Linked DNA regions of Rattus norvegicus. The protein of the gene in region 1 binds, or shares a complex with, the protein of each later gene. Links are inferred from orthologs where the notes say so. Each region holds a gene or a part of one and is shown on either strand. Other genes may lie near its edges.

Region 1 (16,007 bases):
AATTTACCTTTCCCAGGACAGCCCTGAGAGCACAGTACCCCAGCCACAGTGTCCCCACGGGAATAGCTATGCATCGCTCGCCTCCCTGGACAGTCCAGCAAGCTCACTTGTTTGCAGTGCTGGAATGAACAGGGTGCTGGGGGTATGGCTCAGCTGCAGAAGGCTCAAGCTCCTTGTCCTTTTAGACTTAAAAAACCATTATGTCACTTGTGCTGGCAGTGCTTGGGAGTCTGAAGCAATTTGAGGCCAGCGTGGATCACACAGTTGAAAAAGCCAAACTTCATTTTGAAATAATTTGGGGGTTACTGATAAGTCTCAGAAATAGTTTAAGGAACCCTATCTTTTCTTCTCTAGCTTCCCCTAGTGTTAGTATCTAACAGAATATAAGAACAGTGGTCAAACTATTAAGAACAGGAAACCAACCTCATTATAGTGCTACTTTAATCCTCTGCTGTGTATAGCTGGTCTCACTCAGGACTCCTACCCGTAACAGACTACACGATGCCCAAGTGCCTTACATAGAATAGAACACTGGAGTGTTTGCGCAGCATCTACGAGTAACTCAATCCCTGAATGACTAAGAGTACTGAGCAGGATATAAATGATATGTAAATTACTGTATTACTTGGGGAGGTGGCCAGGAAATGTCTCTACATGGTTAATATAGGTGTAGTTTTTCTCCATCTCTGGTTGGTCAAACCTGAAAATGAGGAACCCACAGCTTCAGAAAAGTCTGCACACTCAAATCCTGGGGGGAGCAGGGGTTCTCCCACCCAAACCTCCTTCCCATGTGCGTGTGCGTGTGCGTATATGTGAATGTCTTAGCGGATATTCATATTGAGGCCAGATGGCAGCATCAAGTGTCTTTCTCAATAGCTCTCCACTTTACTTTTGAGACAGGGTCTCTCACTGAACCTGTAGTTTCTCAGTTCAGTACAGCTGTTTTCATCTCTATCCACCTCTGAAAACTGGAGTTATAGACAGAGACGTGATTAGCTTGGCTTTTATGTGGGTACTGGGTATCTAAACTCAAGTCCTTACATTTGCTGACAGTCATCTCCCCAACCCCTGTGGTTTTTTTTGTTCTTGTTGTTGTTGTTTTTGTTTTTTGTTTTTTTCTTTTTTTTCGGAGCTGGGCACCGAACCCAGGGCTTTGCGCTTGCTAGGCAAGCGCTCTACTACTGAGCTAAATCCCCAACCCCAACCTCTGTGTTTTTACTGAATACAAGCACCTTATACCACACATGCTGACTTACCAATTCTGGGTTGTTTTGTTGTTGCTATGGTCATTGTTGGATGGTTGGTTTTTGGTTTTTGAATCAAAATTTCACTGTGTAGCCATGGCTGTCCTGGAACTTGCTCTGTAGACCAGGCTGGCTTAGAACTCAGAGATCTACCTGCCTCTGCCTCTCGAGTGCTGGGATTAAAGGATTGTACCACCACCACATGCTTTAATTGTTTTTAAGTTTTTAAGTCCCCACAATGGGCTCTGCTTATTAACAAACAATGTAAAATTTCTTCCCTTGAGAACCCACGAGTGTAGCTGAGTGGTGGGACATTTGTCTGGTATGTGTAAGAAAGGCCCTGGTAGCAAATAAAAAAAGAAACCTTTTTCTTCATTTGAATAATAAACACAGCTCAGTTAGTAGAATGCTTGTGTAACATACATGAAGCTCTATGTTCTAGCTCCAGTACCACATAAACCAGAAGGGGTAACGGACAGCTGTAACCTCAGCGCTGGGGACCTGGAGGCAGAAGGATCAGAAGTTCAAGACCATCCTGAGCTACATAGTGAGTTTCTGGCCAGATTAGCTGCCAGGTTCTACCATCCCCCAAAGAAAGAAAATAAAACTTCCCAGGTAAAAAACAAACACTTAAAGCATGCACACACCAGAGGAGGAGGAGGAATTCCCTGGAGTTGGAATTACAGGCAGCTGACATGGGTGCTGAAAACCCAACCCAGGCACCTCTTGGAAAAGAGCAGAAGCGTTCTATCTCCTCATCCTATGTTTTTTGTAGGTTGGTTGGTTTGTCTGTTTATTATTATTATTATTGTTGTTATTATTATTATTACTATTACTACTACTACTACTACTATTTATGTAGTGTAGTCTATATGAGCGCTTGTACTAGAATTATAGGCCTGTTGATCGCAGTGGCTTTGAAACATCCAGTCTTCCATGAAGTACTGCAGCTTCCCTGTTACTAAGGTAAGGTATCTGAAACTTAAAAGCACTGTCTTGGGGCTGGGGATTTAGCTCAGTGGTAGAGCGCTTACCTAGGAAGCGCAAGGCCCTGGGTTCGGTCCCCAGCTCCGAAAAAAAAAAAAAAAAAGAAAGCACTGTCTTTCCTTGGGGGGTGGCTAAACATACATTCATTCATTCATTCTTCCTTCCTTTCTTTCTTTCTTTCTTTCTTTCTTTCTTTCTTTCTTTCTTTCTTTCTTTCTTTCTGAGACAAGATCTTACTGTGTAGCTCACTGGTCCTCTATATACAGACTCTGCAGGCCTCGCTTACCTCTGGTATGTCACCACCCCTGGCCATGAGGGAGGAATTAAGAATTGTACTCATTTTTCCCTCGGTGAGACAAAAGTGATTAACAGCTCATACTTGTTTTATGCAGAGGGCCCAGGTCACTTGGAGGCACAGAGATTTCTCTGACTTTCAAGGAAAAAACTGAGGACAGCTGGGATCATGGCATGAGGACCATGGCAGGTCACCTCTCTTGGCCTTGGACTGCATCCCTAGGGACCTTTTTCTGTGTGTCCCCCCCTCCCCCGATGGGTCGGACAAGTAGGAAGAAGGTGGCCCTTTGCTTCCTGCATCTCCAGTTTTTGGTGTGGAACATGAGGTTCTGCCTTACTTGATTTGAATCAGTCCTGTGAGGGACAGGTCATAGAAAGTACTGTCGACGGCTGTCGATGCTTTGGTACAAATGTCCATTGAATCAATCTCAGGCAACCGACCGAGCAAGGCTATTATTTTGTCTTTTGTGGCAGAGTGAGAGGCAGAAGCATAGACATCCTCAAGAACGTCCTGGGCCACAGTGCTGTTTAGAGCAGGCACCTATGGGAGGGGGGCCTGGCATCAGTGTGAGCAGAAGATGGAGACCCAGGAGCACTGGACACCTGCAGGATCTTAGTGAGGTCAACGTATGTTATGAGACAGCTCAACAAGTGCACAGCACCAGAGGAGCAGAAAAGAAAGAACTGGAGGACTGGGACATAGCTTAGCAACAGAACACTTTAACATGTCAGGGTCTTTAGTTCCATCCTAGCACTGTTGTGTGGTTCTGTGTTCATGTCTGTGCATGCAGGTATAGTGCATGTGCATTATGGGTGTGCCTATGCATACATGCATGTAGGTAGGTATAGTGCATATGCATTATGGGTGTGCCTATGCATACATGCATGTAGGTAGGTATAGTGCATGTGCATTATGGGTGTGCCTATGCATACATGCATGTAGGTAGGTATAGTGCATGTGCATTATGGGTGTGCCTATGCATACATGCATGTAGGTATGGTGCATGTGCATTATGGGTGTGCCTATGCATACATGCATGTAGGTATGGTGCATGTGCATTATGGGTGTGCCTATGCATACATGCATGTAGGTATGGTGCATGTGCATTATGGGTGTGCCTATGCATACATGCATGTAGGTATAGTGCATGTGCATTATGGGTGTGCCTATGCATACGTGCATGTAGGTATAGTACATGTCATTTATGGGTGACTATGTATACAGAGGCCAGAGCAATGTCAGGTGTCTTCCTCAGTCACTCTCCACTTTATTTTCTGAGTCAGGGTCTCTCTCACTGCCCCAGAGGTCACCAGTTGGGCCGTCGTGCTCCAGGGATTTGCCTTTCTCCAGCCCTCCAGAGCTGGGTCACAGATGGATGCCACCATCCCTGGCTCTTACATTTGTATTGTGTATTGTTTTTCTATTTTGTTCTACTTGTCTGGAAGAAGCCCAAGATACAGTAGGTACTCTATGAATGTGTAAAGGACTCTTGAATGTGTAGGCTCTGGAATTGAACCAGATCTTGTTCTTGGTTGCTTAGCCACAGCTTTCTTGCCTGGAAAATGTCACCACAGGTTGTATGTGATGGTGTCCTCATCATCCCTGTACTTGGCAAACTGAAGTAAAAAGAGTTACCAGATCAGGGCCAGCCTGGGCTACAGAACCTGACCTTTTCTGAGGACATGAGGAAGGATGGCATAATGGAAGCACTTCGCCTCTAAGTCTCTTCATAACACACCAGATCTTAGGAGTGTGTGTGTAACTTATTGGAATGTGCATTTGCTGTGTTCACTGAACACAGGCTTAGAATGGGGCTGGGTCTGAGAGCCCAGCCATGATTGATGGCATCTGTGCAAGTGAGTATCCTTCCTTCAGAAAATGGATATTCAAGCCAGGGCTGGTGGCACAGGCCTACACTCTATAAAGAAAGAGACTGTGAGCTAAATCTTGCCTGGGCTATAGAGAGAGTGCAAAGTCAGCCTAGGCAACTGTAAGACCCTACCTCAAGAATGTAAACAGAAGTAGCTCCTTGGTAGACTCTTGCTTACCTAACCTATGTGAGGCCCTGCATTCAACCTTCAATACTGAGCTGGGGGCAAAAGGCGAGTGTGTGTGTGTGTGTGTGTGTGTGTGTGTGTGTGTGTACACAAACACACCTAGTTGTGTGATGTCCTATACATTCATTCTCCAGTACTGGCAGGGAGAATTGTATTTATGTCTACACATGACACACATAATACTGGGTGTGGTGGCATATGCCTGTAATCATAGCTACTTTGAAAGGGTGAGGCAAGGGGATCACTCCTTAAAGGGAAGGAAGAAAATATTTCATAAGTAGTTTTAGGCTGCCAAGGACAGTAAGGACAACTCCTGTTTCACTGAGTGACAGGGAAGAGCTGACAAGACATAAGAGACCAAGAGGCCTCCTATACCTTTGGTCCTACTTTTTCTAAGATATACTCTGCAGTTGTCTAGGGCAGCTTGTGGACTCCAGGTTTCATTGTCTATGCCTGATGAGGATATGTTCTAAAAGCTTAGTTTTTTAAAACAGGATCTCATGTAATCCAGGCTAGTCTCATACTTGAAATCTCTCTACTTCAGTTTCCCAGGTGCTGGAACTGAAGGCGTGCACCACCACACCGGTGGGCTTCTGTGTGTTTCGTTATCACTTTGGATCACTGAACATCAGAGCGGTTCTGTACATTCCTCTATCAAAACAGAGGAAGACACAAAAGAACAAACTCTCTTCACATGCAGCTCAGTTGTAGGGAGAAGGGAGATGACTAATGCCTCAGAAACTAGCAGAACCACTGTCATGTGAAAAGGAAAGCCATGATAAGAAGTAGAGGCTCATGGGGACCTCGTCTATGGCTCCAGCTGCCATACGTCTCCCAGGGGAAAGATGGCTTGGTCCCACTTGTCCCATGTGGCTTGGAGTTAAACTGCTTCAAGATTCAATCTCAGGACTGGAGGATTCTCTGTTCTTCCAGAGGACCTGGGTTCAATCTCCATTTCCCACATATGGTTCACAAGTGTCTGTAATTCCAGAAGATGTTCTCTTCTGGCCCCTTCAGGTTCCACACTTGAACACAGATATGCATGTAGATGAAATACCCATTCACATAAAGTAAAATAAAAAAAATACAACCTATTCTATCTCAGTCATAGCCAAACTATGGATCAAGCCAGGGCACTGGCTCTGTTGCTGAAGCACACAGGAGCTGGCACACTTGGAATCCCAACACTGGGGAGGCAGAGACAGAACATTTCCTGGGTTGCTGGCATTTAGCCAGCCTAGCCTTCTTGATAAAATTTCAGGGCCCAGTGAGAATCTCTGTCTCAAACAATAAGCTGAGTGACCCCCTAAAAAATTATACTATGTTCATACAAAGTCCTTCAATTAGCTTCCAAAATGCAGGTCACCTGTCCTTGTATTTTGGAGGCTGAGGCAGCAGGATGGAAAGTTCATAGCCACTCTGGGCTACAGGGTAAGAGCCCATCTTAACAGAAAAGAAAAAAAAAATCTAATTGTATGGCCATATGAGGAAATGGGCCCTGCATCTTGAGTGGGGCTCTCTCCCATCTTCCCACCACGGTAAGCATCAGAACTGGCCTTCTTGCCCTCATCATAGACCCACTCACCTAGTCCAGCTGTGGTCCTGTTCTGCTATGCTGACAGCTATGCTAAGCCTGCTTGAGTCCCTGCCCCTTACTTCCCTCTCTAAACCAGGGGGCAGCCTCCATCCCTCAAAGCCTTCTAAGAACCCACGGCTGAGAGACCCCCGTGGAAGCCCCCAGAGGTCCATGACGGTCCATTCACACCACTCCAGAGAGTCAGAAGACAGCTCAGAACCTGCTCCTTCTGTAGAGCCAGCTGGGGAGGAACCACAACCGGCAGCTTCCAGGTAGGTAGCTCAGAACTCTCCAGCAGGCTCGTCCCTCTTCAGTCATTCACAGCAAGCCCAAGGGAACGACAAGTGGTCCGAGATGACCAGCCACCACTGCAACCCTTTCTGGGGCCTTGGCTCAGGTCTTTATCTCATGGTTCTTTTCACTGGAGAAAGGTCACAGATAACATCAATTCCATCTCAGTCTCAACCACACTACTGGAAGAAGTTGGGAAGATAGTTCAGGTGGTAAGGAACTTGTGCAAAGACCTAAGTTGCCCATGGGAAAAGTCTCAGTGGTGGTGTGGTGTGCTCCTGTAATTCCAAGGCTGGGGCTAGGACAGCTGGGTCCCTGAGGCTCAGTGCCAGCAGTCCAGCCTAATTGATGAGCTCCAGGCCAGTGAGAAACTGTCTCAAGATGTTTTGAGGATGACACCTTAGGTTGTCCTTTGGATTCTACATGCATGTGTGCACACATATGTACACACATGTATAAGAAAATCAGGCCAGTCATAATGACATATGCCTTTAATCCCCTGGGAAGCTGAGGCAGATAGATATCTGTTAGTCTGAGGCCAGCTGTGTTACATAGTGAGACCTTATCACCAAAAGGAAGGAAGGAAGGAAAGTGAACTAGGAGAAACAAAATGACTGGTAGCTGACATCTTTGGGGAAGATATTGTGGCCTAGGTGATCACATTTACTGAATTATAGGTACCGAGGCATGTGCTCACTCCCCACAGCTGCTCTGCATGTGTGTCTGTCTGATTTCACATCACAACAATCTTGCTAACAGTGGCACCCATGAAGCCACAAATATTGGTTCCTCAGACTTGTGTAAGCCACATGTCACCTAAGCCTTCCTCCCAGAAAAGCACAGAAATGCAATCCTCTACTCACTTCTAGGCCAGTAGGGATGGCACTGCTGTGTGGCCTCCCAGTCTACAAAGACCAGAGGAGTTGGGAGAAGGATTCTACCTATCCTTTTTTATTTTTAAAGATTTATTTATTTATTATGTATGAGTGCATGTAGCTGTCTTCAGACACACCAGAAGAGGGCATCGGATCCCATTACAGATGGTTGCGAGACACCATGTGGTTGCTGGGATTTGAACTTAGGACCTCTGGAAGAGCAGTCGGTGCTCTTAACCACTGAGCCATCTCTTCCAGCCCAGATTCTACCTATTTTGAGTTTTTTTTTTTTTTCCGGAGCTGGGGACCGAACCCAGGGCCTTGCGCTTCCTAGGGAAGCGCTCTACTGCTGAGCTAAATCCCCAACCCCGAGCTATTTTTTAAAATACATATTTCCCTAAGAAATACCTATATACAGCAACAGTCACAGAAAAGAAAGTCAATATAAAACATAACTTACAATGTGGGGGGAAGCTTGTCAGTGTCCAGAGCCACCCAAATGACTGCAGTGTGCAACTGCAGGGCGGGATAGAGTTCTGAATGGGAACTGTTGAGCATGACAGTTCTCCTGGACTACCCCGCACCTTCATTCCTTCTGAGACACGGTCTTACAACATAACCCTGGCTGGCCTGGAACTTGCTGTGTAGACTAGGTAGGCTTTGAACTCACAGAGATCTACCTGCCTCTGCTTTCTTCGTATTGGGGTTAGAAGTGCACACCACCATGCCTGGTTAAGATTTTCTTTCTTTTTCCTCCCTCCCTCCTTTCCTTCCCTTCTTTTTTAGTGTGTATGGATGTGAAAGGAGGTCAGAGACATAACCTAGGGTGTCTGTTGGTCCTACTTTGCTTGCTTGAGGCAGGTTATGCACAGACCAGCTGCTCACAAGCTTTCAGGGGTTCTCCTGCCTTTTCCTCCTTACATCTCCTCATAGGGGTGCTGGGATTACAGGTGGCTGCACCTCTCCCCCAGTGTTTATTCAGGCCTTACACATGTCTGACAAGGGCTTTTACCCGCTGAGCTGTCTTCTCAGATTTTTTTTTAATTGTTAATATTGTGCTTTGTATATTGATCTTGTGTCTTTGTAAATCTCACCCTTTCAAAGCAGGTAATCTGGAGCCTAGTGGTAAAGCACTTGCCAAGCAGGTGCCAGGCCCTGGGTTCTATCCTCAGCCCCATGGGAGAGAACAAGGAATTGATGTGAAAGGACTCTCAGGGCCTCCCTTGAAGATTCAGAGTCACTTTTCATCTAGGTTCTTATCCCTCTTTATCCTTTGAGTGTGAGAGAGAGAAGGTATGCATGGGTGTGCTGTGGTACACGTGTGTGTGTGTGTGTGTGTGTCTGTGTGTGTGTGTGTCTGTGTGTGTGTGCACATGTGTGTGTGCGCCCCTATGTGTGTGTCTGTGTGTGTGTGCACATGTGTGTCTGTGTGTGTGTGTATGCGTGCGTGTTGGGGATAGAGCTCAGAGCCTCACATACTATGTTCCTCCCCTCCTGGAGCTGCACCCCTGACCACCCTCTGTCTTGCTATGTAAATGATATCTGGAAGGACTTCAGTCCTTCTCTGCTTCTTTCCACTCAGCTGCCCAGTGGAGGACACAGGAGCTGCCTCTGACCTCCCAGGATCACCAAAAGAGCTGGTCCCCCTGCCTCCTTCCCAGGTGAGCCTCCTGTTTTAAGTTCTATATCCTGTTCATGGCCAGCAGCACCTTATTGCCCACAGGGCCGCAGAGACATGCAGGAGTAAAGATAACAGTTGTCTGTGAGCCTACAAGAATTTGAGAAACAGAGGCAGGTGAACCTCTGAGTTCAAGGCCAGCCTTGACTAAACAGTGAATTCTAGACTAGTCTGGGCTACAGAGTAAGACCTTGTCTCAAGAAACAGGGTAAGGAGCTAGGCGGTGGGGGTATATATCTTTAATCTCTGCACTCAGCAAGAAGAGAGGCAAGAGGATCTCTGTGAGTTCGAGGACAACCTGGTCTACAGAACTGCTAGTTCTGTAGGGCTACACAGAGAAAACTTTGTCTCAAAAAAACCCAATCAATCAACCAATCAATCAATCAATAGTGAATGAATGAATGAAACAGGGTAAGGTTGGAGATGTAGGTAAGGGATGTACAGTTGGGATGTAGCTCAGTTGGTGGAATGCTCGCCCTAACATGCAATGAAGACCTGGGTCTAACCCCAAGGCTGCATAAAACAGGTATGATGTTACCTTACCTGTAATTCTAGTACTTCAGAGGTGAGTATAGGAGGACCAGAAGTAGAAGGAATTCAAAGTCAACTTCAGCTATACATCAAGATCAAGGCCAGCCTAAGCTATATGAAATCTCATTTCAAAACCAGAAATCCAGGGGTGGTGGGAAACCTTAAAGTAAGCAAGAGCTGAGCATGGTGACACATACCTTTAGTCCCAGCATTCAGGAGGTAGAGGCAGCCTGGTCTACATAGTGAGCTCCAAGACAGCCAGAGCTACATAGATAGACCTAGTCTGAAGAAAAAGCCAAAGTAAGGGCCAGTTTGGTCTGTACCCGAGAGGGAAATGCTTCCTAGCAGGCAGGGAAGTGCCATCCCTAGGCTGGTCTTTCTGAGACCCTGTCCTTTCATATCATTGCTTTGTTCTTATGTCCCTTTTACAGAGCTCAGTGGGGAGGTTTGTCCCTCAGTTTGCCAAACCAAGGAAGACAGTAACTAGAAAAACCAAGGCATGGGAAGAGGATCCAGAGAGCTGCACCACAAGCCAGGTAAGAGCCTTCCCTAGGTTGGCTGCTCCTGCTGATCGACCTTGGTCTTCCTGGAGTTCTCCAGCTATCTGTCTGGGGGGTACTACTTGTCAACCATCACATCTAAGGTCACTGAGGGCACCGTGACATGCAGTTTGCATGGAAATAGTCAGTTCAGAAAGGAAGGCCTGCTCCCAGAGCCTCCTCTGCTTCTTGGGGCTTCTGTGCAAGTCAGGAGCCGTGTAAAAAAATATGAGGGCTGGAAAGATGGTTCACCAGTTAAAAGCACTGGCTGCTTTTCCAGAGAATCTAGATTCAATTCCCAGCACCTGCATGATAGCTCACAATGATCTGTAACTCTGGTTCCAGAGGACATGATGCCCTCTTTGACCTCCAGGGCACCAGATATGAAAGTGGTGCACATACAGCGGTGCAGGGAAAATCTCTGTATCATACACATAAAATAAAACGTGTGTGTGTGTGTTGTGCATGTGGAAGAAAGCAACTCTGTGTAGTCTGTTCTCTTCATCAGCTGGATTCCAAGGATCAAACTCAGGCCATTAGGCTTGACAAAGTGCCACCTATACCATCGAGCCATCTCACTGGCTCTGGTACGTCTGTAAGTGGACAAGCAGCTGGCAAGATGGATTAGCTGGTAAAGGCACATGTCACCAGATCTGACAATCTGAGGACTCTCCTAGGAGGAGAGACTCCCACAAGTTGTCCTCTGACTTCCATATGTACACCATGGCACATATGTGTGTGTACCAGCATGCGCACATACATACTTACACAACAAAGATAACACAGTAAGCTGATGAGGTGTACCATTGGGTAGCAGAGCCTTTAACCCTTCACTGACTCTGGCGTGGGTATAGAACTCAGGACCTTGTGCAGCTAGGCAAATGTCCTATTATGGAGTCACCCCACAGCCTACCACCTGGAATGTTATACTCTGAGATTCTGAGTGCTTGGTGCTGGCAGGGAGGTTCCCATAAAAGGAGGGGTGTGTGTACCTCCTGTCCTCCTGCCTTAGCACAAAGCTCTGCCTAAAGCAGCTTCCACAGCCCTGTGGTACCCAGTGGTGGGTACAACTATCTGATCTTGAGGACAGGGTCCTCAACTGGAAATGTTCTTCAGAGTGCTTGCTTATCTACGTCCAGGGCTGAATCTTCTATTTCCACAGGAAACAACGCCAGAGCTAGGTGCCCTAGAAGCAGCCAGCCAACCACAGAGAGAGTCCCTGAGGTTCCCTCTCCATGATGCCAGAAGACCAGAAGACCAGACACAGCCAGATGGTACCCTCTCAAAGGAGAGGACCAGCTCACTAGATACTGGAAGCTTGGAGAACAATGGTTTTGAGATGGCCACAGTTCAAGACAGTAGTAGCCAGGGAAGAACCCTGTCGGCTGCTGCTGCTGAAGGCAGGGAGGCAGATAGCAGCACCCCACAGGAAGGAGGTACCCAAGGAGGGGAAGCAGAGGCCCAGCATTCTGGGGAACCCCAGGAAGGAGAAGACATCCTCTACACTTCAGCATTAGTTCCTGCCTCAGATCCTACCATACCATGCCTAGAGACCTGGTCTGTGGCTCAAGACCTCTCTGTCCCCACACACATTCTTCACAGCACAGCTGCAGCACCCAGCTTCGGTAGCCCAGCGGGTGCCTCTCTTATGGACAGCGTCATTACAGAAGTGAGCTTAGATCTCTCTGTGCTGCAACACAGTGCACTAGAGGTGGGCAGCCTGCTGGGCTCTCCAGATGGGCAGATCCCTGATGGAGGCTGCAGTGGGACTCTTGCTGAGGAGACCCCAGCAGGCAGCAAGGAGACCAGATGGAAAGAGAAGTCCCCTGGTGATGAGACCCTGGCAAACATCACTGAGACTGCAGTACCTGTGAAACAAGAGCCCATGGTGGAAGCTGGAGATTCCAGCCATATAGCCCAGGAAATGGGTCCTGCCGTCAAGACCAAGGACCCTGGCTCTGATGGACAGCTGCCAGGGGATATAGGAATGCTGCCTTTACCAGCACAGCCCATGGATGAAAAGGTGGTGGAGTTAAGTGGCCTAACTTATGATCAAGACTTGGAGGGCCTCAGTCTGTACCCTCATACCCCCTCTCAGCTAGAGCACACTTGTCTAGCTAGTGACCCTCCCCAGAGCTCCAAGGCCTGTCACAGCAGCCCAGACATTCCTGTACACCCAGCAGGGAAGCAGCAGCCAGCTCCCAGTCTCAGAGACCAGGCTGCATGGCAGGAGTCCTCTGCAATGGAACTAGACTTCCTGCCTGACAGCCAGATACAGGATGCCCTGGATGCCACCAACATGGAGCAGGTAAGAGCTCTGTACTCAGCGCACCCTGGCACCATTAGGTAGCAAGATGGGGCTAATGTGTCTGACACTGTTTACACAACATAGGTGTCTAAGGAGGGGGGTGGGGGGATCACAGCAGCTTTGGGCAAGGTAGAGCCTGGTGCACCTATGCCTCCCGGAGTCTAAAGCTGCTCTGCCTTGGGATAGGGAGCTGGGTGGCTACGAGAGCATTCTCCCAAAGAGCCAAAATTTCACACTGCGCCACAACCTGCCGTTGAGATACCTATTAGTCCATTTTGACTCTTTGAGGGGAGCTTTTCTTTTTTTAAATTTTTATTAGATATATTTCTTTACTTACATTTCAAAGGTTATTCCCCTTGAGGGAAGCTTTTCATTAGACAGAACCCCTCAATGCAAGCAAAGAATTTTACCTAGTGTTCAATCCAAGAAATAGGCAACCGTGCTTTAAGACCCTGGGTTCCGTCCTGGCACCAAAAGGACGAAGGAAAAACACACTTTTCCATCCTTGTTGGGGAACTGCTGGACTATACTTCCCAGGACAGTGGACCTGAGGTATAGCACAGTGTGATTTGTCTTAGCACTGTGAGAGGCCTGTGTTCTATCCCATCTTTGTAAATAAACCTATCAGGATCACAGGAACCTAGCACAGCCTGTGTCATACTCAACAGGCAGCACCAGCCTGGGAGCTGTTAGCTTTGACATCAGGTATCCCTGAACAAGTCAGGTGACCTAGCCACTGAGCGTGTTCTCAGGGGAAGGCAATTCAGGAAGACCGTCCAGCTAGATGGCAGAGGCTGCATCTCCCAACATAGGGACACCTACGATCAGAACAGGGGTCCCTGCTGACCTCACACCCAGCCACACCGCAGTCTCAGAAAGACATGCCGTTCAGTCGCCCTGCAGTGACAGTCTGACTTGTACAGTGCTCTCCTACCAGGAACTTTTCCCCACACTTCAGTGTGTTGGTTTGAAGCTCGTGCAGCTGGCATGGCTGAGTGGCATGAGTGGGGCCCTGGGCTCTATCCCTAGTACTTGAGGAAAGAGATTCTTTGGTCCCGCCTAGAGTTTTGGCTGAGGTTTCCAGGGCTTCCAGTGCCATAGCCCCTTCTGTCAAAGGCAGTACCCCATGGGCCTGGTAGAGATGTGGTCCCTTTGAGGGGAGATTCTCCTCCCCACAGCTAAGCAATGTAGTGTGATAGGCAAATGTTGAACACCAGATTTTATTTTACTTTACATGGGTCTTGCAAGGTTACCCTGGCTGGGCTCAAATGATCCTCCCAGTTCTATACCACCAGTCTAGCCAGTCTCTTCAGGAATTCCCACGCCAGACTTTTTCCCGTATTGGACACTTAGGCCTTAGGCAGGCAACATCACCTCCTTTCAGCTGCTGTCACCTGGGTCTCACTTTGCAGGCCACACTGATCTCAAACCCCCAGTGTTCTCCTAGTCTCCCAGGCACCAGTGTTCTGTGTGTCCTGGCTCTAGGGTCTTAAAGGAGGCAGGATCTCAGACTTAGTGATGAGACTCACACAGGGTATCCTGAAACAGGAGGCTGGCCCCAAATTCACAAGCATCAGTCTTGTTCCAGACCCTCAAGTTGCTAGAATTACAGATGAGCACTGCCTTGCCTGGTCTTATTTCTTGTTTTGTTTTGTTTTGTTTTGTTTTGTTTTTTCAAGGTCTCAGTACATTATATAGTCTTGGCTGTCCTAGAACTCGTGTGTAAATCAGACTGTCCTTGAACTCACAGATCTGCCTACCTCTGCCTCACAAGTGCTGGAATTAGAGGCATACACCATTGCACCTAGCTTTGCTCCAGGAGCTTTAAAATACTTTGAGACACTTCCATAGTGATCAGGATAAAACACATTAGTGTATCCCACAATGCACATCGGCCTGTTGCAAGGACAAGGAAGAGGACAGCAGAGCAGCTGTGCTTGGAGCCCTTTGCTGGCATCATGCTGCTTTTGGAGAAGTTCAGCTAAGGAGAAGTCTTGGGTGCTGTGGATGTTTCCCTCTGCCAGGCTGGGTGATTCATATACTGAACCTACTCCTTCCAGGGCTTTCCTTCAGGGAATATGTCAGACCCTGGCTGGCCTGTCCCTAGCTCATATGCCATCGGAGGATCCCCAAAGGCGGTGGCCAAACCTCAGCCCAGGTAGGCTTTCCAGTCTTCAATCCGGAATGGGAGCTTGCCCTGTCTTTCAAACTACCATGCACCATATGTCCCTCAAGGGAACTCAGGTGCCCTTGGTTCACACCCAAAGAAGGAAGGGCCTGTCCGTGGGAGCTGAGTCCCTCTAGCACCTTGAACTGTTCTAGCCTCTTTGGACATGGGTATCCTAAGAGGAGGAGCCTGGGTGTTCCTGAGTCACATGAACTGGTGTCCAAGCAGGAGGAACTGTGGTCAGAAACAGTCTTGAGGCTGCCATCAACTCTGGCCCTTGGAGCCCTCCCCCCCCCCCCCCGAACCTGACAGTGTTTCTGCAGACTTACAATTTACTGCCAAGTTTCTGTTTGTGTCAGGCAATCATGGAGGAGGCTGGGGTGCCAGTGTGACCTCTTTTTTCCCTTTCCCTGCTCCAGCCTCTGCCCTCTGTAATGTTCATCCCTTCTGCCCGTTGTTACTGCCCGTTGTCAGCACAGCCCCTCCCTGTGGCTCAGTTTCTTCCTTCAGTGTACCAGAAGCAGGTTAGCTCTGTTACCCACTGTTATTCAGGAACATTTCAGCTTCCTGTTGGTAAACAGGAGCCCCCAAATTGGGCCCTGGAGTCAGTTGGTGGCCTGAGGCTGAGTGTCACTTGAGGAAACCTGAGGGCCAGATGGGCAGCGCCATCAGGTGTCTGGGGCCTGTGTAGCAGAACTGGGGCTCCCGAGTATAAAGCCAGCTGTGAACCAGAGCTGACGGTCCTATCCAGTCTGCACAGCCAGGCTGCACATCCTTGAGGAAATGCAGTGGCATGCCTCCTTTACTGTCTTGAGTGATCCTAGGGAGCAAATTAGTGTCAAATGACCAAGTGTTGAGAACGGGACAGTCCACAGAGTTAAATTTGACTATCAAGACAAACTGGGAAAGAATAATCCAGAGTCCTCAGAGGCACTGAAGAATGGTCAGGAATTCAGTATGAGCAGAGACAATGGGAAGGGCCAGGGGCCAGGTGAGGACAGGTGGTGCCCATTATTTGGGAGGGTCAAGGAGGGTTATGGCACCAGCCCTGGTGTGGCAGTCCATGGTGGCAGGGGTTGGAGCTAGGATATTCAGGGCGGGATGGGGTGGGGAGTGTTCAACACAAGGAACGCTGGATCATCCTGAGCTCTTAGGCCACCCCTTTCCTTCCCATTTCCTGACAGACCCCATGTGGGAACCTGGGCCCAGGAGCCCTACAGGATGCAGGACGCAACAGACACGGTGCGAGGCCTTGTGGTAGAGCTCTCCAGTCTCAAGTAAGGGCAACTCAAGTTACCAGAGGTTACAACATCGAGTAGGAACTGAGGTGGCATTCCAGGTGTGGGTGAGGGGGTAGTGTGGCCCCGGCCCAGGCTGTTTCTGTCTTGCCTCACTGCACCTGCCATTTACAACACACCTGTGAGGAGCCACCTGGCAGGTGTGGCTGAGACAGGGTCCT
Region 2 (16,531 bases), on another chromosome or scaffold:
GCAGGTTTTCAGATCAAAGCAACAGGCTCAGCGAGGCCCGGGTCAGGACATGGAACCTCAGGAAATTCCAGGCCACAGTGCTCAGGAGACTGTCCAGCCCTACAGCGGTCCTATCAGCAGTGTCAGAGCACCCCCTAGTGGCCCAACGGGACCACTGCTTGCAACCAACCACCACCACCACCAGGACCGGAGATTATCATGGTTTGTTTCATGCTGCACCCCAAGTGCTTAGGAAAGTGTGTGGAATGTTGTAGACACTCCCTAAATATTTTCACACGAGTGTCACTTCTTTATACATTCTTCACCTTTCTGCCTGGACAGACAAATACAGCTTTAGTTAAAACAGAAGATCTCCCTTAAGAACATGGGGCTTTAAAGTCAGGAGGTGGTGGTGCACTCAAGAGGCAAAGGCAGGCTGATCTTGGAGATCAAGCCTGGCCTGGTCTACAGATCGAGTTCCAGGGCAGTCAGAACTATACAAAGAACCCCTGTCTGGGGGTCGGGGATGGGGGAAATAAACTGCCTTTGGCCAGGAGTGGTAGTGCAGAAAGCAGATCTCTCTGAGTTCCAGGCCAACCTGATCTACACAGAATCTCTAAAACAGTCATAAAAACAATACATAAGGAAACAAAAACATATTGCCTTTATAAATTTTTAAATCTACAAACAGAAATAATATAAACAATGCAATGGCTGATACACAGAATGGAAACATCTTACACGAACTCTGTCACAGGGTGTCTGTCACCCAACCTAGCTGCCTCCACTGCTTTTAGAACTCAAACCAAGAGAATCTCTAGACACCTAACTGGATAGAAGGCGGCGCACTAGACAGGCTAGGATACTGGGAAGCCATCTATGCCACAGACTATTTCAACAGCAGTACTCTGGAATGAGGATCTTTATATAGCTCTGGCTTTGTTTGGGGGGTTAGATCACAGTCTCACCGTATTTTCCAGAATCCAGCTGAGTCGGTCTTCTCAGGGCTGGGATAATAGGTGTGTACCCCCATAGTCCGATAGGTTTGATGGGTTTTGGTGGTGGTGGTTTTGATAGCCCTATGGATTGAACGGAAGGTCTCGAGAATGCTTGGCAAGCCCTCTGTCACTAAGCTGTCTCCACAGCCCTCTTTTTTCATTTTTGAAGTTACCCAGGGTGGACTTAAATTTACTCTGTAGTCCTGGCAGAGCTCAATGTCAACACCCACCCCTCTGCTACAGCTCCCAGCTATGTAGCTGGCATGGCATGTGACACCAGATGTAGTTTTGATGGTGTTGATACCATGAGAATGAGTATCTCCACATTCAGCCTACTTAGGAAGAGGGACAGGAGCTGCTGGTGAGAGGCAGGGCTTCTGGAAAGCAGCTCACACTGGGGTCTGGTTTTTCTTCCCCCGTTACCTGGCATGTCTACAACACGTCATCAGTTGTTTTCCATAAATGTGAAATAGTTTTTACCACAACAGCTGTCTGAAAACCCAGATACTTTTAAATAACCATTAGCCTTTTCCTTCCCAGCACTCTGGAAGCATCAAGAGAAAAGAGTGCAGTGCTGACAAGCTCCATCTTCACTTTGAGCTGAGATTTGGGCCGTGTATACATTCCCAGCACATGGAACGTATGCCTCACAGGCCAGGGGTTAGCAGGGCCAAACGCGGGGTGAAACCTTGACAGGCAAACCTGTTCCTTGCCTCTTTCTGCCAAACATTCCCTGGATTAAGAAACACTTTGGCAGACCCTACATGGCCTGTTCTTCACGGTCTCTCCCCTCACTGGCCTCCCCCTATCTTCACACAGACCTCACTGTGACCACGATTAAAACTTTCCTGACAAGAATGTCATACTGGACTAGAGCCCATCAGGCCTCATTTTACCCCTGTGAAAACCTTTTTCCAAAGTCCCGTTCTGAGGACCTGGGGACTGTACTTGAAGGTACCTTTTCAGGGAAATTCTTGACAGATACTCTGCAACTTGCCAGGGTTTCATCAGACTGTCAGCCCTATCGCTTCTCGGCCTTTTGGCTAAGATCAAGTGCAGACTGTCAGCCCTTCGTGAGGCACTTTTACTGACATAGTTTTCCACAGCAAACAGACACCTCCAGAATGATTCTGCATCCTACAAGTTTCCCAGAAACAAGCCGTTGCAGAAGCTCAAGGGCTCAGAACCAGCTCTGGACCACTATTCCAGAGGAGCTGTTAAGTATCTCCGGTACATAGAATAATCCAGTGACCCACAGAGGACGACCACATTCGTTTACCTGGTGAACACTGCTTAAGTCTAGTCAACTCATTTCTACAGTGTGCAGACTGTACACTGCACGACCTGCATTTCCCAACATGCTGAACTGAAATCCATTTGCCTACCGTACCAAATGCTGTTCCTTCTCTTGAATAAACTAATTCTAGGATGCATTTTAACTGTCCCCTAAGTCTACTCCTTCATAAAGCTGCCTTGGCTTCCCCCCAGCCAACCCCCTTGGGATTCTGGTGGCCTTTTATAGTTGTGTGGCATCTGTGACACACCTCCCCTTTCACTGTCTCTGTCTTTTTTTACCCCTATTGTGCCCCAAGATTATAACTATCTGGTGTACTTGTCTTTCAAGTAACCACTAGAGGGCCCCCATGGACCAAGATCCTCAAGCTCACAAGATGTTCTAGCAGAATCTAAAATTCCCGATCATCCTGTCCCCTTTCAAGTCACAAGACTCTGGGATATAAGGACAATCTGGACTTGGTATTTCACTCCAGCCTCCACAGGGTTATCAGGCCGGGTAGACAGGCTCCTTCCTCACCATTCCTTGTGCTTCCCTTCCCAAACACCCAGTTGAAGAGGACAGCCTTCCCTGACTGAGGAGGACCATTCTTCAGCCAAACAAGCTCCTTAACCTCTTAAGGCTCTGCTTCTTGAAGCTGGCTCTGCCCAGGACTCGGCTGCCAGCAGCAAATCCTTTACCGTCCTCACTATAATTACAGAAAACTGAAGGGCTCGGTCGCAGTCTCTGTCCTATTAGCTGGCTGGTCTTGGATGATAACTGAAAGCCCCACAGTGCTCTTCCTCTCCCTGTCTCAACTGAGACCTCAACACGATCAACAACCGTGCAGGACTCCTCCCTTCCTGCACTGCCCAGCACTGAAGAGCACTGACAATGTCCACGGGAGTATTTCATATTTACACACTTTCCAACTTGGTAAACTTCAAGTCAAGGCTCTCCCAAGTTCACTGTGTGATAGCATCTGAGCCACAACTGACGCTGCTGGGCTGTGGATCTGCCAGAATGCTCTCTCCAAAAACACTTCCTCCAAGATTCTACAATGCAGGTACCATACAAACCATTCAGAATGATTAAGTCATCTCAAACCTGCCACATCCTTGGAGACTTGGGGGTTGGGGGGAGTAACAGAGTCCTAGGACCTTACTCGGGGCCCAGTATGTAGCCAGGCAAGTGCTCTAATGCTCTTAGATGAGTGCTTTATAGTTCCAGAAAACACAATGAGATGCTAGCCAACATGGAGGACACAGATGTCACAGATGTCCTGCCTCTCCACACTTCTACCATGGCCGATCCTGACCTACAATCCTTCCCTTCACCATCATCTCATGAACCCACCCATCCAGTCAGAGCAAGTCCAGTGGAGCCTAGCAGTTGCCCTGAGGGATACTCTCCATCCCACCAACCCTTCTAACTCTTCTGGATCCTCAGATTCAAACCATCCCCCAATACACACCACTTGATCTGTATTTTAGGATCACTCCAGTTAGGGGTTCCAAGCTCCTCTGACCTCAGCCAATCCCCTCCCGTCCGCCGTGAACATCCCACCTTTACTGCCTTTCTTCTGCTGGCCACAAGTCCTGCGCAAGCAGGAAAGCCACCTGACAAATCCAAACGACCATCCTTACTTACTCCCTTTGTGACTGTCACGTGTCTTTCCTTCTCCTCCTTAAAATAAACAGTGCTCTGCGGGGGATAGAGAGCAGCTCTTTCGGAGGACCTGGGTTCAATTCCCAGCACCTATATAGCAGTTCACAACTGTCAGTAAGTCTAGTAACAGAGGATCCGACACGCCCTTCTAAGTTCCTCAGGCATGGCACACATACATGCATTCAGGCTACATACTCAGACATATAAAATCATAATAATACTTAAAAAAAAAAAAGAAAGTGTGCCTTTTCCTCAGTGTTGCCTCTTTAAAAGACACTTAGACAAGGCACTGCTTACCTGCCCAGCTTCTCAGAGGCAGGTCTCATGCTAGCTCAGAATCAAGTTCGGCATGCTATCTGATACCTAGCTCACCCACTCGGGCCCTTGGGAGGCAGAGGCAGGGGGATCTCTGTGAGTGAAAGGCCAGCCTGATCTACATAGAGAATCCCAGGACAGGCAGGGCTACCAAGTGAGACCCTGTCACAAAAAAAAAAAAAAAAGAGAGAGAGAGAGAGAGAGAGAGAGAGAGAGAGAGAGAATTCAAGAGCAAAAAGTAGATAAAGGCGCTGTAGAAGGCCATCTCTTCAACCTTGCCTTGCCCAGAAAAGCGGAGGTAGTCAGGGAGGGCCTAAGTTGAAAGTTTACAGTGACCTCCCAGGAAGCAAAGGACACGAGGTGTGCCTAATGCCTAAACAGGGCTCGTGTCTGGGTAGTCAGAGCTACTCTAGGCAAGGCTTACCCGTCAGTACAAAGGCTTCACCGTTTGCTAGCTGCCCTTTGTCCTACGGACAAGGAGCAGCTATTGTAACAGCTTCGCTCCAGTGGTAGAATGATAGAATCAGGCAAAGATGACCAGGCTGGGGACAGTAGACACGGCCTAGAGGAGGCAGGCACAAGGGCCCCACCAAAACAGCAGAGATGACGACAGGCTGATAAAGTCAGAAAGCATCTCCCGAGCTCACTGGCGGTACAGCTCCAAGGCAGGCCAGGGAGAAGCAGCAGAAGGGAATCAGTAGGAGTCAGGCAGAAGAAAGTAAAAATGATCTTGCTAAGTGGAAGGGTGCCCTGCCACTTGTCGGGCTACAGTAGCAGGCCCAGATAGAGCCAGCTGCCAAGTAAACAGGAAACGTTATGTCTCCCATTAATGGGAACGTGTCACGATGTCACTTCGCAGTCATCGAATTCCTTTCCAAAGCTCCCCCACTTTCAAAAGATCTTTTATTTATTTTATGTATATGAGTACACCATAGCTGTCTTCAGACACACCAGAAGAGGGCATCAGATCCCATCACAGATGGTTGTGAGCCACCATGTGGTTGCTGGGAATTGAACTCAGGACCTCTGGAAGAGCAGTCAGTGCTCTTACCCTCTGAGCCATCTCTCCAGCCCGCTCCCCCACTTTCAGAAGGAGAAACCTGACCTGGCCTGAAGAGTGACACACAAACACAGCCTGGCTTCCCGATAGCCTCAAAGGTGCGGGCAAGGTCCGTCCACACAGTGGGCAAGGTCCGTCTACACAGTGTTCTACATTTATTTGAGCATCACTGTTTATGAGCAAACAAGACCCGGGTCCGCTTCGCACTCAGCCTCTAGTTGCCTCTTTACACAAAGCTCCACCTTGCTCTGAGCCGTCGAAACAGCGCTTAAGGACTTAGGGGGCTGAAGCAGGAATGTCTACTGTTTGAGGCCAGCCTGGGCTGCACAGAGAATTCGAGGTTATCCCAGGATATAGGAAGCCATCTCCAACATAAAACACTGCTTCATTCCCACACCGCCTAAGTCCAAGCCTGTCCCCAGGGCCCGGTGAAGTGCCTCCCATTCCTCTGTACCTGTGGTCATGCACGCCTCAGAGAGACGTAAACCTGATCTAGTCAGACACACACCTGTCCCTGATAAGCTTAGCATGGGCACTTAGAGTCCAAATGATCAAGTGAGAAAAGATGCCAAGTGGGAGTCAGGGAAAGGCGGATGCTGGCTACAGAGATACGTCCAGCAGCCACTCACATCAAAAGGACTAAGGCTGTCTGTGTGCACGAGACTGCCTTGGGGAGGCTACGATGAAATAGGAAGGACTAGGCTGGGCCTCGGGCACCTGCACTGTCTAAGGGCTTCTGAGTAGCAGTTTTCAACCTGTGGGTCACAACCTCTTGAGGGCTGGGGATCAAAAGACCCTTTCACAGGGGTCACCTAAGACGATCAGAAAACAAAGGTATTTGCATTACGATCCATAACAGCAGCAAAATCATAGTTATGAAGTGGCAACGAAACTATTTTAAGTTTGGGGGTCACCACGACATGAGGAACTGTGTCAAAGGGTCGCAGCGTTAGGAAGGATGAGAACTGCTAGTCTTGAGAAAGGTGAATAGGCAAAGGTGACCAAGAGGACATCGCAGAGATAGATGGGGAAGGGACACACAGCCCGGGAAGGCCACGAACCTCAAGTGAACAGCCCCTACAGTCTGACTTTATCAAGTTACCAGATTCATGTGTGGCCTCTAGCCTGCCCTGGGAAGGAGACTGGCGTCTAATCTCTGACAAATGAGATCCTGATACGTTTTCGCAGACCACCGGTTCGTGGCTTTACAGTGAAACAATCAGCCAGCAGGCTAATGCACTCTGTTACCAGGCAGCATTTTCCTTTTCTGGAAATAAATGCACTGACGCTAATTGCTCTCAAAACTTGCCAGCTGAGCATGAGATCAGAATGAAGTGGTTAGAAAGTCAATAACCGGCGACAGGAGGAGTAAGGCCCCCCACGAAGATAGTGACATAGCCAGGGAATGGTGATGGCCCTCTCAAAGGGAGAGTGTGTTATTGAAGCCCAGTAAGAGGTAGACTGTGGAGGAGGCCACTGGGAGGGCACTTGTGGAGCAATGCCACCCAAACACCGGAGTAACAAGAGGGGCAGAGGGCAGGCCAGCACCCCTCCCACCCAGTCCCTCTCTCTTTGCTCAGAGAGGCCTTCCAATTCTAGTCTGTAGGGGGTCTACCTCCCAGAATACAGTACAAGGCAGAAGTTAATGGCTGAGAAAACTCCTGACAGAATAGGACAGGGCTCCGTGTAACCATTAACCGTTTACTCCTTTCTTTTTTTTTAATTTTTAAGTTCACACACATTGGCATTTTGCCTGTAGGCGTGTCTGTGTGAGGATAATGGATGCCCTGGAACTGGAGTCTCACAAACTTCTAACTGCTTCACCCTTCTAACTGAATAGGGCTGGCTAACTGGCAAAGTACACGTGTACAAACTAGAAACCCACATTCCGATCCCTTCTAGCTTACAACTTATGTGGCCTGATTGTCCTCCCCTTCTGAGATCACTGTGCTGCCTGTTTCACAGCTCTCAGGTGAGGCTTGAACTTGGTACATAGGGGAAAATGATCCTGAACTCCCGGTCCTTATACCTCCACCACCTAAGTACTGGATTACAGGCACGGGCACCATCGAGACTGGCTCGGAAACCTACATTCCTCAGTCAAGACACTTTCTTGGTGGGGAAGGAGGTGGGGGCAGCTGAGGACACCTTCGGGATGACAGGACGACACCACACTGGTGTGGGGGAGGGGCTGCAATCGGGACGTAAAGTGAATAAATAAATTACTGGGGAAAAATAAGACACTTCCTTATTTGGACTTACAGCTCAAGACATTACTTGGGCCTCTGGGGCGCACACTATGAGGGCTGGCGGTCCGATGTGACTTGAGAAATTAGCCTTACCCACCGAAAAGCTGATTGGATTGCAGTCCAGTCCCAATTGGGAAAGTGCTTTTGCAAGCTCCAAGTACCTCCCCCCCCCCAAAAAAATAATAATAATAACAGGGTCCCGACTGGTATTTGATACATTGTTCAAATGTCAAACATCTGGATAGACAAGTCCTAGCAATCCTGGACTTAGCTCAACACTGAAAGCTGGCGCCCCCTACCCACCTAAAGACAAGAGGGCACACATGAGGGAAAACTCACTTTTTTCTACAATCTTCAACTTCTGGAAGCTTTCCAGTAACTCCCCATTTAGTATTCTGGGTAAGAAGTCCCGGATTTGCATCACTTCCGTCGTCAGCCGCTCCAGGTCCTTCTTTCTGACTTTAACGAATTCTTCCTTAGATTCCATGTGCTAAAGGAACAAGCAGGTCTTAGCATTGTAGCATTTCTCTTCAGATGACTAGAACTAGCAACCCAAATCAACTTTCCTTTTCTTTCCAGACTCTTACATTCATAACTGCCTCACAAATGTGTTTACATCATGTTCGTGTGTGTCTGTGTGTGTGTCTGTGTGTGTGTGTGTGTGTGTGTGTGTGTGTGTGTGTGTGTGTTCCAAAGCGCGCGCGCACTGGAGCTTTGATTTGCTTTTTGAGAGGGCGGGTCTCACTGTGTAGCCCTGGCTGTTCTGGAATTCTGCAGACTAGGCAGTGGGCCTGCCTCTGCCTCCCTAGTTCTGGATTACAGGCCTCTTCCACCACCCCTGGCATCTGATGTCCCTTCTGTTACACATATATGGATATAGATGTGTATTCGTGAGTGTGTTTGTGTATACGTGGGCTTTATATACAGAGAGCCTTGCCGGCGGTGGATGAGGGTGGTAATCCACACCCATAGTCCTAGCTTCTCAAGAGACTGAGGCCGAAATATGGCTTTGCCCAAGCGTTGGGAGACCAGCCTGAGCAACACACCAAAATTCTGATTCAGTAAGAACGAATATAGCGGAAGAGGGAATGGAAACACTTAAGAGGAAAAACCAAATATACATTTCTAAAAGCCAAAGAAAATGCCCGCAAGTTAATGTGCCCCAAACTGAACTCCTCCAGGATGGGATCCCTGCGGCTGCTTTTGGCCTCTGCTGTCCCCAAACATTCATGCTACTATACAATGGCGTCCCACTGGAAGTAGGCGTCAACCAGGCCCTCTCGTGAAGGGACACCAGAGGCAGAACCCAGATAAGTGCACGGCTCTGGTTCCCCAGAGCCTCACAGCCTAAAACCTGAGCTACCACTTTTTAACTTGAAGGCCTCCACAGATGACTTGGAACCGCGCCTCGTGTCTCTGGTCTGGCCCACCCTTGCGCGGCTCCCGGCCTGGCCCCTTCAAGGCTACAGGGACATCTTCTCAGGCACAGGAGTCACCCTGAGGGAAGTAAACACCAGTAGCTCCCATATGTGGGGCACACACTGACCCGGCAGGCCTCCTCAGTACCGGAACGCTCGCCCACGATCGCAGCCATAGCCAAGGCCTCAGCTTTGTGCGCCTGCGCAGAGCTCTCTAACACGCGCAAAAAAAGTGCGGGAATCTGAAGATGCCCGACCATACGGAAAGCCGCGAGGTTCAAATCTCGCCAAATTTGCGCTTCACTCTCGGCCCCTGGACCCAGGGATGAGAAGGAACCAGACTCTACTGCGGCTCTTCTCCTTCAGTGTTTCAGACTTGTGACCTGCAAAATGAGGCCTGAGTGTCAAACAGAATCCGTCCTTCCCTGTTTACGGAGAGGATGCTAGAACCAAACCTACAAACTGAAAAACCGCACAGGGAGAACCTCGTCGTCCCTTGGCCAAGTGCTTCTGTGTTAAGGGATGCATTTTCGCATGCACAGAAGAGTTATTTTAGCTAGGTAACTGAGGTTTGAAACTAGATGTAGTGGTACATGCCTATGTCCCAGCACTTGGGTGGTGGACGCTGGAGTTCAAGACCAACTTGCTACACAGCAAGGGAAATCTAGCCTGGGCTACATGGGTGGGGGAGCGGGGTTCAAAATGAAATAACTAAAGCTTGGAAGAATATACTAATCTAATAATTCTCAAATGTTTGATGACCTAGAGTTTTGGATGTCCCTAAAGTAAGCATAACTGTTAAAAGACTTCTTTCATATTGGTTTAGTGTGTTCCCTGCTCGTTCTGGTTTTGTCAACTTGACACAAGTTAAAGCCATGAGAGGAGGGAATCTCAATAAAAAAAAAAAAAAGTCTCTATAAAATCAGATTGTAGGCAGACCTGTAAGGCATTTTCTTAGTTAATGATTGATGGGGAAGGACCCCACCTGTTGTAGGTAGAGTCAGCCCTGGGCTGGTGGTCCTGGGTTCTATAAGAAAGCAGGCTGACCAAAGAGCAAGGCCGTAAGCAACATCCCTCCATGGCTTCTGCATCAGCTCCCGCCTCCAGGTTCCTGTCTTCTTTGAGGTCCTGTTTGAGATCTGGTCCTGGCTTCCTTTCATGGTGAACAGTAATACGGAAATGGGAGTCCTCCCCAGCTTGCTTTTTGATCCTGGTGTTTCACTGTAGCAATACTCACTACCTACTGCTCAGAACTGTGTGTTTTGAATGCAAGAGGTCTTAAAGACAGAGCCAAGCTCCCTCCCTGTTAGACCCTCAAAATTTTTCCCTCTCCAATGGACATCCCTGCGTCTGACCCAGTCGTTGTGGGTATGGGTTTGCTGACTCCCCATTCAACAAGTTTGCACCCGTCCCAAGATGCGACAGGGAGGCTTGCTCGCTGCAGGAACGGATTGTTCACTACACCGCACCTCTGTAAGTGCCCTTGTTGCTTCAGGGACGGGTTTCTCTCTCTTCTCCAAATCCCGAACCTGTCCTAGAACGCTGCAAGGGTCTCCTCGCCCCCTCTGCACTCGTCCCAGCACATTGGAAGAGGGCCCATTCCCTCTATAATGCTGCGTGCCTGCATCAAGACTCAAGGCACTGTCCTGAGGGGAACGGGGCGCTGAAGGGTGGGAGAGTGGAAGTTGTCCCTGTGCTGTTGTAAGCCTCGGGATGCCAGGATAATGGCCTTCCTTCTGGGTCTCAAGTCTGCTCAGGGAAGCCCGCGGAGTTCACAGACACCGGGTGAATGGAGGTGGCAGGACCGCCGCTTCCCTGACAGACCTTTGTTAGCTGTGGTTAGACTCTAGAACTGCATCAGGTTAGCCGTAGTCGTCCTGCCGGAGGAGATCTGACCCTAACTACCCGCCCAGAACTTGGACCACCCACAGGATATACTTCAGTAGCGGGGCTACGTATCTACTCGCACAGGGGCCACGCGGACTCCCTGGGCGCGCGGCAAGCGGCGCACCGGTGACGCCATCACCCACGCGCCGCGGCGCCTGCGCAGGCGCAATCCAGATCGCTCGGCGGCTAGCCGCACGCGCGCAGCCCGGGGATGCTGAAGCGGGTGCGATGGCTCCCGCCATGCAGTCTACCGAGCTCCAGTTCGCACAGCGGCTGGCCTCCAGTGAGAAGGGCGTCCGCGACCGCGCCGTGAGGAAACTGCGGCAGTATCTCAGCGCAAGGACGCAGAGCGACACAGGTGCGGGCCTGGGTCCGCGCCGCTGCGCGCGGCGAGGGTCGCGCCAGTGGGCACGGGTGCGGCTGCTACGGGCTGTGCGGCAGAGCTCCTGACCGCTAGTCCCAGCTCACCGCTGGCCCAGTTCGCCGAGGCTCGTTTGTGTTTCTTGTTTGTGTTCCATGGATAGTACCTGTAGGCGCTGGGGTGCGTTAGAGAGTTAGCCCTGAGAAGAACTCTGGCAGTGTGGTGGTAGAACTGATGGCAGTGTAGTGGAGCACGTGTGAATGCGGGAATGTATATCAGTAGCGTGGAAAAGTGCAGGAGAAAGTCCTTCTAAAGGAAGCCACCTGTGCTCTGTTGAGATTTTGACAGGAGGAAGCCAGGCAGGCAGACGCAAGAACGCTAAGTGTGCCCTGAGCCAGAGAAATCTATCTGTAAGTTGGCGCGCAGGGCGTGTTGAGATAAAATTGAACCTGGGGGCAATGTGGTCACTTCGCTGGCTTTGGGGAAAGGGAGGGGAGGTTGGATTTTAACTGCCGTGGAATGCATTGCAAAGATTTATTTTAAGTGACCCAGAATAGATTCTGTTAACTCCTGAATGAATTCGCAAAGTCTAGACTGCAGCATACTGTGAAGGTTTCAGGTTGCAGCCAGTTGGCTAAAGTTTGAGTTACGGGTTGCTAAATCTGATTAAAATTGAAGTCTGGGGGGCCTGAGAGATTGCTCAGCCGTTCAAGTCCCAGTACCCACATGGCAGCTCAGAACCCTTTTCCTGGAAAGGAGTCACCCCCTCTGACCTCTACCAACACCAGGCATGCACGTGGTGCATAAACATAGAAGCAGGCAAACCTCCCACTAAACTACCTACTTACTCATACCTAAACTAAATCTTTTTTTTTAAATGGTTTTTGATTGAAATCAGTCCCAGGTGGCAGTACATACCATTAATTCCAGCATCGTGAGGCTAAGGGCAGCCAGGGTCACAGAGCAAGCAAGACCTTATTGCCAAGAAAGGAGACTTTTTGAGACGTCTGATAAAAACTAAAAGTTTTTTTTTTTTTTCTGGGGCTGGGGACCGAGCCCAGGACCTTGCGCTTCCTAGGTAAGCGCTCTACCACTGAGCCAAATCCCCAACCCCAAGTTTTTAAGTTCCAAAAGTTATGTTTCCACTGTGGAATCCAGAGGTCAGATTTAGGTAGTGAGGTTTACCGAGCTGAGCCGCCTTGGCAGCTGCATTTCCCATCCCCACCCCCACCCCAGCCCTGTTAAGGATTGCCCCAGAAATTCAGTTTCCTCTCATATTGTCAATTTTCCTATATACGTGTGCTGGTGGTCCCTAAACCTAACTTACTGGCCCAGGTGGACCTTGGCTATCCTCCGCTCAGATTAGTGTCACTAGCCTGGTACTCCACCTGGCTGTCCCATGAGTGCCTCAGTACCAACAATGGCATCTGCTCCTCCCTCCAAACACCTGTTCTCTCCTGCTGCTCCTCCTCCTCAGCTGCTCATTCTTCCCACATTTTCTCACCACCATCTTACATACACACACACACACACACACACACACACACACACACACACACTATCCTTCTGTCCTTCTCAGTTAACTTGAATTACTCTGCCTTAACCAGAAGTTCCTTTATTTTACCTAGATTTCTGGTCCATCCGTTCCCTTAACTCTGTTGTGCCTTTTGTTTACTTGGGTCCCCCCCACCCCCCGCCGCCGCCGCCCCGACCCGACCCCAGACAGGGTCTCTCTGTATCCCTGGCTTTCCTGGAACTCACTCTCTAGACCAGGCTGGCCTCGAACTCAGATTGCCTGCCAAGTGCTGGGCTTAAAGTTGTGAGCCCCCATTGCCTGGTTTGTTTGGTTTTGGTTTTTTGAGACAGGATTTCTCAGTGTTATAGCTCTGGTTGTTCTGGAGACCAAGCTGGCCTCAAACTCTCAGAGGTCCACCTCCCTCTGTCTCCTGAGTGCTGGGGTTAAAGGCATTTGCCCCAGGCTTCCATTGTGCCTCTTTAGTCTGCCCTCCACAAACAGCCCAGGTCATTTTCTTAAAGCAAATCTCATCTTCCCACTGCTTCCCTTGAAGGCCACAGTCTGACAGACCTGGTGTCCTCACCTGCTCTTCTAATTCCTCAGTAGTCCGTTAAACCCCTGTGGCTGAGCACACCACTCACACTCTTCTTGCCTCCTCCCCCCTTGCATTCAGGCTTGTTCTACAAAGAATTTTGCCCTAGCAGTATCACTTCTGAGAGAAATCCTCCTTTATGATCTCTCCCACCACCCTGTCACCCCTAAAATTATAAAATCTGTGCCCCTCTGATAGTGCTTAGATACAGAGGGAAGGAAAAGCTATTTGTTCTGAGAAAGGATTTCCCAGAGCCAGGAGTGGTCTCTACTAGCTATACTGAGAACGGATGACCTTGTCCTCAGCTATGTGCAGATAGCTTTGTTTGTATGAACTCTGTGGTTTGTATCCTTTCCCCCACAGGCACTGTAAGCTTCCCTTTGTCCTCTAAGCCATAGGTGAAAATATGGAGCCTTAGGAGAGCCTTCAGGAGACAAAAGCAAAGTACAGTACACCTGGACTGGAGACAGCCTGAGAGCATGCTTCTCAGAACCCTTTGAGAACAGCCCCCCCACCCCCGTCCCAAAAAAAAAGAGAACAGGCCCAATACCCCAGGGTACTTCCTGATGACTTATCTTTTTCCCCTATTCATCATCGTGGCCAGTTTGTGGGATATCGTAGGCCTTCAGAAAAATAAAATAACTGTGGACTGTAGAGGGACTGGAGAGATGGCTCAGCAGGTTAGAACATTCGCTCCTGCAGAGAATTGGCATTCCATTCCTGGCACCCGTGTGGTGGCTCATAACCATCCATTACTCTAGTGTCAGAGCCTCTGACACGGTCTTCTAACCTCAACAGTCTACAGTCACCACAGACACACATGGTGTACATGTGAAATAAGTATGCGTGAAATAAATGAAAAATAACTGCGGGGCTAGGAAAATGGCTCCCTCGGTAACATGCTTGTCATGTACCCGTGAGGACCTGAGTTCAGGCGTTTACTCATGAAAGCCAGTGTAAATCCTGGGGTAGCCAGATTGATACGATAATCTGTCTCAGAAAATTAGCTGGAGAGCTAGGGAAGAAAATACCTAGCACCGACTTCCAACCTATACATGTGTGCCATGCAAATAAGTAAAAACTGCAGGGTAAATGTCTTAATGATCATGGCCCAACGGGGCTGCAGAGAAGGAGCACTGGCTGCTCTTCCAGACCTGGGTTCAATTCCCAGCAACCACACACAGCTGCCAGTTTCAAGAGACCCAACACCCTCACACATACATACGTGCAGTCAAACACCAATGCACATAGAACGGAAAAGAGAAGAAAACATTTAAAAATAATAACCATGGGACAGGAAAACCAAAGTGTCTGGCACTGCAAGGCCCCATCATAATAGAATCACAAGCTTGCATCTCCTTGACAAACTCAGTTTGTTTTGTAACCTTACTTGTTGGGAAATCTGACATTTTCGTCTCACTGAAGACTTACTGTTGACTTACTGCCTTACTGTCTGTCAGCAGCATAAATAGATAGGTCTGTGGTCTTTGCTGTCAAGAAACAGTCTCGGCATTTTAGTTCATGGTGGCTCATGAGTCCTGGTATAGCCTTTCATAAATGCAGCAAACAAAAAGCACCATGTCCTCTTGTGTACACTGTTGTTGGTGTAGAGAGTACAGCAGTGAGCCAAGCAGGCAGTCCCTGCCTGTCTTAGCATTTCTCAGCCTTAAACATTTAACACCTACCATAAAGCTATGGTGTATCCTAGCATCAACCCTGTGGCAATTCCGTTTGTGTCATTGTTTTTATTAGTAATAGTTTGCGTGTGTGCTCACACACACATGATGTGGGAGGAGATAGAACACACCACATGTTTGGAAATGTCAGTCAGTTCTCTCCTTTGGTTTTCACGGGGGTTCAAAAGCTGGAGATCTGGCCACCAGGTTTGTGTGGCCAGCACCTTCTCTGCCAAGCCCCAGCCTCCTTTTGGTGGCGTAGAAGGTGACTGAATTTGTGGTTGGTGGTGGCTTAGTCATTGTAGCTGTTGTGGAAGTAAGTGCCTTTGCTGCTGGCGGCATTAGGGTTCTCCATCAGAGAGTTATAAAGGGGGGAGGTGTGCATGTCTGGAGTATGCACAGCCCCATCCAGAATGGCTCCTGTGTTCATTCCGTGGAGAGGGTTGCTATTGGATGTTGTCATTTCAAAACAATGGTATGTCCTGTGTCTTCACACCTTTAATATCCTTGACATTGTTTTTAGGCTAGCTAAATCTGAGCTGTTGTCTGTCAGAAAGTAGGTCATAGAACATGTAAATTCGTCCCCACCCAGGCACTCACTTTCAACCCCAGCACTCAGGAAGTAGAAGCTGGTGTATATTGCTGAGTTTAAGGGCAGCCTGGTCTACATAGTGAGTTCCAGGCTAGACAAAGATACATGGTGAAACCTTCCCCCCCCCCCAAAAAAAAAAGTTTTTTCCTGGACAAGTATGGTAGTCACACTAGTGACTTGAGCTTGGGAGGCTGGGGCAAGATTGTAAGTTCCAGGTCAGCCTGGGCTACACAGAAAGACCATCCCAAAATAAAGGGCAGAGGAGGAGAGACTTAGCAATAGAGCGTTTGCCTGGAGTACCCAGGACCCTGTGTTCATTCCCAGTGCCTCACAAAGTTGTTGCCAAGAAGAAAAGAGCTTTGAAAGCAGTTAGCAAATAAAGCTACTGCAGATACTTTCCTCAGTGAGTAAAAGGGATCAGGTACTCAGTGTTTCTCCAGACTTCTTTAAGTTCTTTAAAAATCTGTTCCTGTTTTTACCAACTAAACTCTTAGGTAAAAATGGGGTTTTTATATGTATTTTGGAAGTAAATTTTTAGAATGGGGGACTTGAACAGTCTGGGGCTTCTTACAGTTTTTTTTAATCACCACCCCTTTGGCCTGATAGTATACAGATTTATTCACTTGTAAACAAAACATTTGCTAATGATTACGTCAGAGAATTTTATTTTTAAAACTTCTGGCGGGGCTGGAGAGATGGCTCAGCAGTTAAGAGCACCCGACTGCTCTTCCAGAGGTCATGAGTTCAATTCCCAGCAACCACATGGTGGCTCACAACCATCTGTAAAGAGATCTGATGCCCTCTTCTGGTGTATCTGAAGACAGCTACAGTGTACTTATATATAATAAATAAATAAATCTTTGAAAAAAAAAAAAAAAACTTCTGGCACATACATACTCTTGCCACGTATTGAAAAGGAGAACAGTATGCATCATCAACAACAACAA

What was found.
Region 2: the proteins of Brme1 (region 1) and Hsf2bp are in contact, whole or in part, in a crystal structure (PDB 7Z8Z), measured with the Mus musculus proteins. The link is inferred for Rattus norvegicus from reciprocal best matches to the Homo sapiens genes BRME1 and HSF2BP. Residues at the interface, in NP_083321.2 of Mus musculus: Met541, Gln542, Asp543, Ala544, Thr545, Val548, Arg549, Leu551, Val552, Leu555, Ser556, Asn559, Ile562, Met563, Thr565, His566, Leu569, Lys573; in NP_083178.1 of Mus musculus: Glu23, Phe24, Val25, Lys26, Val27, Arg28, Asp31, Leu32, Arg34, Leu35, Glu38, Val39, Gln41, Ile42, Phe45, Leu46, Arg48, Ile49, Glu53, Leu54.

What each region holds. Positions count from the first base shown.
Region 1 is NC_086037.1:40,895,279-40,911,285, reverse strand, and holds part of Brme1 (break repair meiotic recombinase recruitment factor 1), read left to right. Parts: intron 1-1,673; exon of another isoform or gene 1,674-1,686; coding exon 1,687-1,791; exon of another isoform or gene 1,792-6,066; coding exon of another isoform or gene 6,067-6,256; coding exon 6,257-6,431; intron 6,432-8,907; coding exon 8,908-8,986; intron 8,987-9,965; coding exon 9,966-10,070; intron 10,071-11,235; coding exon 11,236-12,381; intron 12,382-14,060; coding exon of another isoform or gene 14,061-14,123; exon of another isoform or gene 14,124-14,400; intron 14,401-14,441; coding exon 14,442-14,539; intron 14,540-14,967; exon of another isoform or gene 14,968-15,072; intron 15,073-15,732; coding exon 15,733-15,825; intron 15,826-16,007. UniProt on the Homo sapiens protein: Meiotic recombination factor component of recombination bridges involved in meiotic double-strand break repair.
Region 2 is NC_086038.1:10,111,806-10,128,336, forward strand, and holds the start of Hsf2bp (heat shock factor 2-binding protein), read right to left. Parts: upstream 9,137-16,531; coding exon 9,089-9,136; intron 8,033-9,088; coding exon 7,882-8,032; intron 1-7,881. Other genes in the region: Rrp1b (ribosomal RNA processing 1B), read left to right, coding at 11,076-11,205. UniProt on the Homo sapiens protein: Meiotic recombination factor component of recombination bridges involved in meiotic double-strand break repair.